Linked DNA regions of Saccharomyces cerevisiae S288C. The gene in region 1 interacts genetically with each later gene. Each region holds a gene or a part of one and is shown in the gene's direction. Other genes may lie near its edges.

Evidence for each region.
Region 2: of GLO2 (region 1) and GLO1, changing one enhances a phenotype caused by changing the other (phenotypic enhancement), as found in Saccharomyces cerevisiae (one study listed by BioGRID).

Annotation. Positions count from the first base shown.
Region 1 is NC_001136.10:1,006,680-1,010,334, forward strand, and holds GLO2 (hydroxyacylglutathione hydrolase GLO2), read left to right. Parts: upstream 1-2,330; coding exon 2,331-3,155; downstream 3,156-3,655. Other genes in the region: Cu(2+)-transporting P-type ATPase CCC2, read left to right, coding at 1-2,010; DON1 (Don1p), read left to right, coding at 3,497-3,655. UniProt on the Saccharomyces cerevisiae protein: Thiolesterase that catalyzes the hydrolysis of S-D-lactoylglutathione to form glutathione and D-lactic acid.
Region 2 is NC_001145.3:261,205-265,015, reverse strand, and holds GLO1 (lactoylglutathione lyase GLO1), read left to right. Parts: upstream 1-2,330; coding exon 2,331-3,311; downstream 3,312-3,811. Other genes in the region: VRL1 (Vrl1p), read right to left, coding at 1-475; YML003W (uncharacterized protein), read right to left, coding at 661-1,533; TRM12 (tRNA(Phe) (4-demethylwyosine(37)-C(7)) aminocarboxypropyltransferase), read right to left, coding at 3,407-3,811. UniProt on the Saccharomyces cerevisiae protein: Catalyzes the conversion of hemimercaptal, formed from methylglyoxal and glutathione, to S-lactoylglutathione. Can use gamma-glutamylcysteine as a substrate.

The DNA of each region.
Region 1 (3,655 bases):
ATGGATACACTAGTTTGTGTTTCCACTACTTGTGCATACACATTTTCTGTGTTTTCTTTAGTTCACAATATGTTCCATCCCTCAAGTACTGGCAAACTCCCAAGGATCGTTTTCGACACATCAATCATGATCATTTCATATATTTCCATCGGGAAATATTTGGAAACTTTAGCTAAATCACAAACATCAACCGCACTTTCTAAATTAATTCAGCTCACTCCATCGGTGTGTTCAATTATATCTGACGTGGAGCGGAATGAAACCAAGGAAATTCCCATAGAATTATTGCAAGTGAACGATATAGTGGAGATTAAACCAGGGATGAAAATTCCTGCTGATGGCATCATAACAAGAGGTGAATCTGAAATTGACGAGTCGTTAATGACAGGCGAATCCATTTTGGTGCCCAAGAAAACTGGTTTTCCGGTTATTGCTGGTTCTGTTAATGGACCTGGACATTTCTACTTCAGAACTACTACCGTTGGGGAGGAAACTAAATTAGCAAATATTATCAAGGTAATGAAAGAAGCACAATTGAGTAAAGCTCCCATTCAGGGGTATGCAGATTATTTAGCCTCTATTTTTGTTCCGGGGATCCTAATTTTGGCAGTATTGACTTTCTTTATTTGGTGTTTTATTTTAAACATCTCGGCTAATCCTCCCGTCGCTTTCACCGCAAATACTAAGGCTGATAATTTTTTTATTTGCTTACAAACTGCTACTTCTGTTGTCATCGTCGCATGCCCATGTGCATTGGGACTTGCCACGCCGACTGCTATAATGGTGGGTACAGGGGTTGGAGCTCAGAATGGTGTCTTAATAAAGGGCGGAGAAGTATTGGAAAAATTCAATAGTATTACTACTTTTGTTTTTGATAAAACAGGTACCTTAACTACAGGTTTTATGGTTGTGAAAAAGTTCCTTAAAGATTCAAATTGGGTTGGAAACGTGGATGAAGACGAAGTTCTCGCCTGTATAAAAGCAACGGAATCCATTAGTGACCATCCAGTTTCGAAAGCAATTATACGTTATTGTGATGGTTTGAACTGTAATAAGGCTTTAAATGCCGTTGTTTTAGAAAGCGAATACGTGCTTGGAAAGGGAATAGTCTCAAAGTGTCAAGTTAATGGAAATACTTATGATATTTGTATTGGGAACGAGGCGCTGATTTTGGAGGATGCATTAAAAAAATCCGGATTTATTAACAGTAATGTCGACCAAGGAAACACTGTATCATACGTATCAGTAAACGGGCATGTGTTTGGCTTGTTCGAGATTAATGATGAAGTTAAACATGATTCTTACGCAACAGTTCAGTATCTACAAAGAAATGGATATGAAACGTATATGATTACTGGCGATAATAACTCAGCAGCAAAAAGAGTCGCTAGAGAAGTAGGTATAAGCTTCGAAAATGTTTACAGCGATGTGTCACCCACAGGCAAATGTGATCTCGTGAAAAAAATTCAAGATAAAGAAGGTAATAACAAGGTTGCTGTTGTTGGCGATGGCATTAACGACGCTCCCGCTTTAGCACTGAGTGATCTAGGTATTGCCATTTCAACAGGTACGGAGATTGCTATTGAAGCAGCTGATATTGTTATACTGTGCGGTAATGATCTGAATACTAATAGTTTGAGAGGACTGGCCAACGCCATCGATATTTCACTAAAAACGTTCAAAAGAATAAAGCTGAATTTGTTCTGGGCACTTTGCTATAATATATTCATGATTCCGATTGCTATGGGTGTGCTCATTCCTTGGGGCATAACTCTTCCTCCAATGCTCGCCGGTTTAGCGATGGCATTCAGCTCGGTCAGTGTCGTTCTAAGTTCATTGATGTTGAAGAAGTGGACTCCACCGGATATTGAATCACATGGGATTTCAGATTTCAAGTCCAAATTTTCGATTGGGAATTTTTGGTCAAGGCTTTTTTCTACGCGGGCTATTGCAGGTGAGCAAGACATAGAATCACAGGCCGGACTAATGTCAAACGAAGAAGTCTTGTAAATAACAGGTAAGTCTAATTTATTTAAAAAAATCCACGAGCATATAGATTTATAACAATAATAATAATTAATATTCATCAATTTTTTAGTAAATTCATATATTTTACTCCTACTCTATGTATTTTCAGTAAGTCTACTAGTCGTATTACCCGTCGGTTTCAAGGGATATTATGGAGGTAATAAGGATTTTTTTACCGATTTAAAAACCCATTATATCCCTCTTAGAAAAATTTTAGTATTCTTAGATAAGTTGCTAGATTTACCAATATCAAAGGGAAGACTGCAGGACAACACAAAAACACAAGAAAAGGAGGACAAAAAATGCAGGTTAAATCGATTAAAATGAGATGGGAGTCTGGTGGTGTTAATTACTGCTATCTATTGTCCGACAGTAAAAATAAAAAATCGTGGCTAATCGATCCAGCAGAGCCTCCTGAGGTTCTGCCAGAGTTGACTGAGGATGAGAAAATAAGTGTTGAAGCAATTGTTAATACACATCACCATTATGACCATGCAGATGGTAACGCTGATATCTTGAAGTATTTAAAAGAGAAAAATCCAACTTCAAAAGTTGAGGTTATAGGAGGGTCAAAGGACTGCCCAAAGGTTACGATAATTCCGGAGAATTTGAAAAAGTTACACCTAGGTGACTTAGAGATTACTTGTATTAGGACGCCCTGCCATACCAGAGACTCTATCTGTTATTATGTGAAAGATCCAACAACAGATGAGCGCTGCATTTTTACTGGCGATACACTATTTACCGCTGGTTGCGGTAGGTTTTTTGAGGGTACAGGCGAAGAAATGGATATAGCTCTGAACAATTCTATCTTAGAAACTGTGGGCAGGCAGAACTGGAGTAAAACGAGGGTTTATCCAGGACACGAATACACAAGTGATAATGTAAAGTTTGTTCGTAAGATTTACCCGCAAGTTGGTGAAAATAAAGCATTGGATGAGTTAGAACAATTCTGCTCCAAGCATGAAGTCACAGCAGGGCGGTTCACTTTGAAAGATGAGGTAGAATTTAATCCATTCATGAGATTAGAAGATCCAAAGGTCCAAAAAGCTGCCGGAGATACGAATAATTCATGGGACAGAGCTCAAATTATGGATAAATTGAGAGCTATGAAAAACCGTATGTAGGAAAGCCAACAGAGTATAATATACTTAAAAATATTCTTTTAGCATACCCTTTTATTTCAATGTATAAGAGTTTTTGGAACGCTACTTTATAACATTCAGGTCTGTTCACTAGAACTCTTGTAGTTGTGCCGTCATAAAAATTAGTCTTCGCGTGGCTGAAAGAAAAGTTCCAATAATACGGGCGGCTCGAGTAGAGTAATCATTGCCGTCACAAAACCATTTTCGGGTAGAAATAAAGCAATGGATATTTGAGCTCCAGAATTAAAATGGCTTTCCTTTTGCGGTTTACTATCTACTTGACTTTGGCTGGTATTTAAACACAAGTAAGAGAAGCATCAAACATGGGAAAGAAAAATAGAAAGGGAAAAGAAAATAATGCTGCTAAAACCTCTTTTCTAAAAGTAGAGAATATTAAAAACACTAATTCGGGATTGGAGCTTCCATCGCAAGACTATACAAACGTTGAAGAAAAAGAAAGTAGCCCGAAAACTGACTTTCCA
Region 2 (3,811 bases), on another chromosome or scaffold:
GGTCTTCTACTGGAAAGTCGTTTTCATATTCAGAAAGAATATCTAATAAGATGTAGTTTTTATGATTTGTTATACATATGGATAGAATGGATTGTCCTTGCTCATTTCTGTAGGTCAAAATATCCTTGTATGTTGCCAGATCTTCTACTTCATTTGTGGGGTTTTCACATGACAACTTATCTAATAAATTCTTAGTTTTTTCACATAATGTGTTAGCTTTCGCCACGTTGCCTGTATTTTTGTTGAAGTCTTCGAAATAACAAACCACTGCTTCCAGTGTGGATACAGCATACCCTAGAATGCCGAATTTTGTAGAAGAAGAGTTATTCGAAAAATTTTGCAAATAGTAAAGATGACTTTTAAGGTGCTTTTGTTCACTTCTGCAAACAACGAGCACAAAAAGGCTAATTAAAGTGTCTGCATCCATCGTCATGTTATTCAATCCGTCTGGTAGTTCTAGTTGATGTGAATCCATTTCGGTAGTACCTGATAATTTCTGTAGAGTTTCAACTAATATTTTAGATTTTTCAGCGTATGAATGGGTCAAAGCCAACTTTTGAAGATGTTTGGACGCTAGATGGAGACGCCTTTCAATAAGAGTGATGTCGTGTAATTTAAATTCCCCATAATCTTTTGAGTAAAAATCTGTCAACAACTGGTTCACTGAAAAATATTTATTTTTTCAGTGTCTACTTCGTGGCCTTTGAAATGTGTAGTAAGCCTAGACCATATATCATCGTAAAGATTTAGTTCAAAATAGTCGTGTATAAGATCGTAAAGATTAGAAAAGTTCTTGAAAAGTGAATCCGATTTCATTCCATCAAATGCTTGTTGCACGATGCTTTCAAAAATACTTCTAGATGGATCATCACCAGGAGCGAGCGTTCTGTAACTCGAAAACAATTGGCCAAGCTGTGTTAATCGAGCAGGATGAATGTGCAATATATTCTCGAATGACGATCTTTCTTGCTGAAAAGAATCTATCGACAGATTTGGCATAGCATGTGCATTTTTTGGTATTTTCTCATAATTGTGAAAACACTGTAAGTAGTCGTTAGGTACAAATTCGCAATTTAAAGGTTGATCTATGAATAGTATGATAAAATCAGCCGCCCCTTCAAAGTAGTCATTAAAATTGGGTAATATTTTTGTCTCTAGAATCTTTAGTCTTCGCCTTATATGAAATCCATTTAAGGCATGGATCACATTATTCTTCCATTGAATAACAACGGTCTTACCATCTAACGTTTCATAATGACTGTCCCTTGAATTCGTATTTATGTAAGAGTTTTCAGTCATTAACAATATGTAAGAGTTAATAAACTCTGCATTATAACAGAGGTCATGTAACGGCAGTTTGCTCTTGACATCGTGGTAATTCAAAAGGTATTCTGAAGGAGGTGCTAGGAGGATAAACCTACGGGTTTTTAAATTAGCGAAAAGCTTTTTCAATGGGGATCTTTCTGGTTCGGGACAGTTAAATATAGCATTAACCAGCGGGTTCAACAGCGTTGGTAAATGGTAAACTGACATTGTCAACCCTAGCTAAGCCATAGCTTTTCCGTTGAGGAATTTACAATAAGGTGGTTCCTTTAGTTATAAATTGCAACTGCCAAAATTTTCGGGTAGCGGCAAAATTAAACGAAAACCTTCTGTCATATTAAACATAGTTTAGTGACGCAATGCACACACACTCATATATATGTATATATTTATCTATATCATAGGTGTAAGGCAAAGTTATCACGTGAATATACTGTTTAGTATACAAGTACGTTGATTTAACGGCTGAGAGATTCTCAAACAAAGTAACGCTTAGTTTAGCTAAAGTAGAATCGAAGCGCAGTGAAGGCAAGACGAGTTATCCCTTTATCACAAAATATAAAAAATAGGTAAAGAGGGGGGTGGGGGTGGTTCGGACTTTGCATCTCGGTGCATTAGTACCACTCAGCTTCAGTTATAGGAATACTGACAATGTTCTTGAGCCAGGGAGAACTGAAATTTCCATACCCTTTAACCCTTTATTCTTGAGCATATGATCTTATTTTTCCACTCAGCACAAAATACACATCCCGCATATGATCTGGACACTGAATAAACAAGGGGCTTTACGATGGAGTAGTAGACCTGGATACGTAGTCACCACAGGGATCCTAAACTGCGTCATAGTAAGTTTCTTTGATACTAGAATGTCCCTCTCTCGTAGTAGTTGATATCCCGTATTTCTAGTTAGTGACGTTTATAAATAGGGAGAAAAAAAATCGGAATAACATTTCCATGCCTTTTTTTTGACACTTCAGACCAGATACGCCACCAGCTACAAACTAACAATGTCCACTGATAGTACACGCTATCCAATTCAGATTGAGAAAGCCTCGAATGATCCAACCCTTCTGCTTAATCACACATGTTTAAGAGTCAAGGATCCAGCAAGGACCGTTAAGTTCTACACCGAACACTTCGGTATGAAGCTATTAAGCAGAAAGGATTTTGAAGAAGCAAAATTTAGCTTGTACTTTTTAAGCTTTCCAAAAGACGACATACCCAAAAATAAGAATGGAGAGCCTGATGTTTTTAGCGCACACGGTGTCTTAGAACTAACTCACAATTGGGGTACTGAAAAAAACCCAGACTACAAGATCAACAACGGGAATGAGGAACCTCATCGTGGATTTGGGCACATCTGTTTTTCTGTATCCGATATCAATAAAACCTGCGAAGAGCTAGAATCTCAGGGTGTCAAATTCAAGAAGAGACTCTCTGAAGGAAGACAGAAGGACATTGCGTTTGCTTTAGGCCCTGATGGATACTGGATTGAGTTGATCACATATTCTAGAGAGGGTCAGGAATACCCAAAGGGCTCAGTAGGTAACAAGTTCAATCATACCATGATTCGTATTAAAAACCCAACCCGGTCTTTAGAATTCTACCAGAATGTGTTGGGCATGAAATTATTAAGAACTAGTGAGCACGAAAGTGCAAAATTTACGTTATACTTTCTTGGTTATGGCGTTCCAAAGACCGACAGCGTTTTTTCATGTGAAAGTGTGTTGGAGTTAACTCATAATTGGGGAACTGAGAATGATCCAAACTTCCACTATCATAACGGTAACTCAGAGCCCCAGGGTTATGGTCACATCTGCATAAGTTGTGATGACGCTGGCGCCCTTTGTAAAGAAATTGAAGTGAAATACGGCGATAAGATCCAATGGTCTCCTAAATTTAACCAAGGCAGAATGAAGAATATTGCCTTTTTGAAGGATCCTGATGGTTATTCCATTGAAGTCGTTCCTCATGGTTTGATTGCCTAAAAAGTTGAAATGAATAGGAGGTTAGTATTTTTTTTTTACAATAATGACCATTCTTGTTGACTTTTCATACACTAATTATTATTTATATTTTGTATTTAAGTACTTACTATAACGTCGACATCAACGCATACATGCCAAATATCTGGTGCAAAAGTTTTTATGCGTTCAAGCTTAGATCTCACAAACTGAAGTTTGATGCCACGGTTTCTAATTAATGCAATTGACTCATTAATAGCGTCGAGTTCTACAATGACATTCTTTTCGAAACTTCCATCCTCAATTGCATCTATGTGTACATTTTCATGTATATGCATTGTCACTTTTTCCAAAGAAGCTCCTTGTAAGTAAATTAATTTGATGGCCAATGGCCACCCTTGTTTGCTTGAAGGCAGGAGACCTAAATTAATATGCCTAATACGTAACCGAAATCCGGGATTCTGAGATAAGAATTCAGTAAGCCTTTGAACGCACATTTCATTTGATTCTTGGAAAACGTGGCA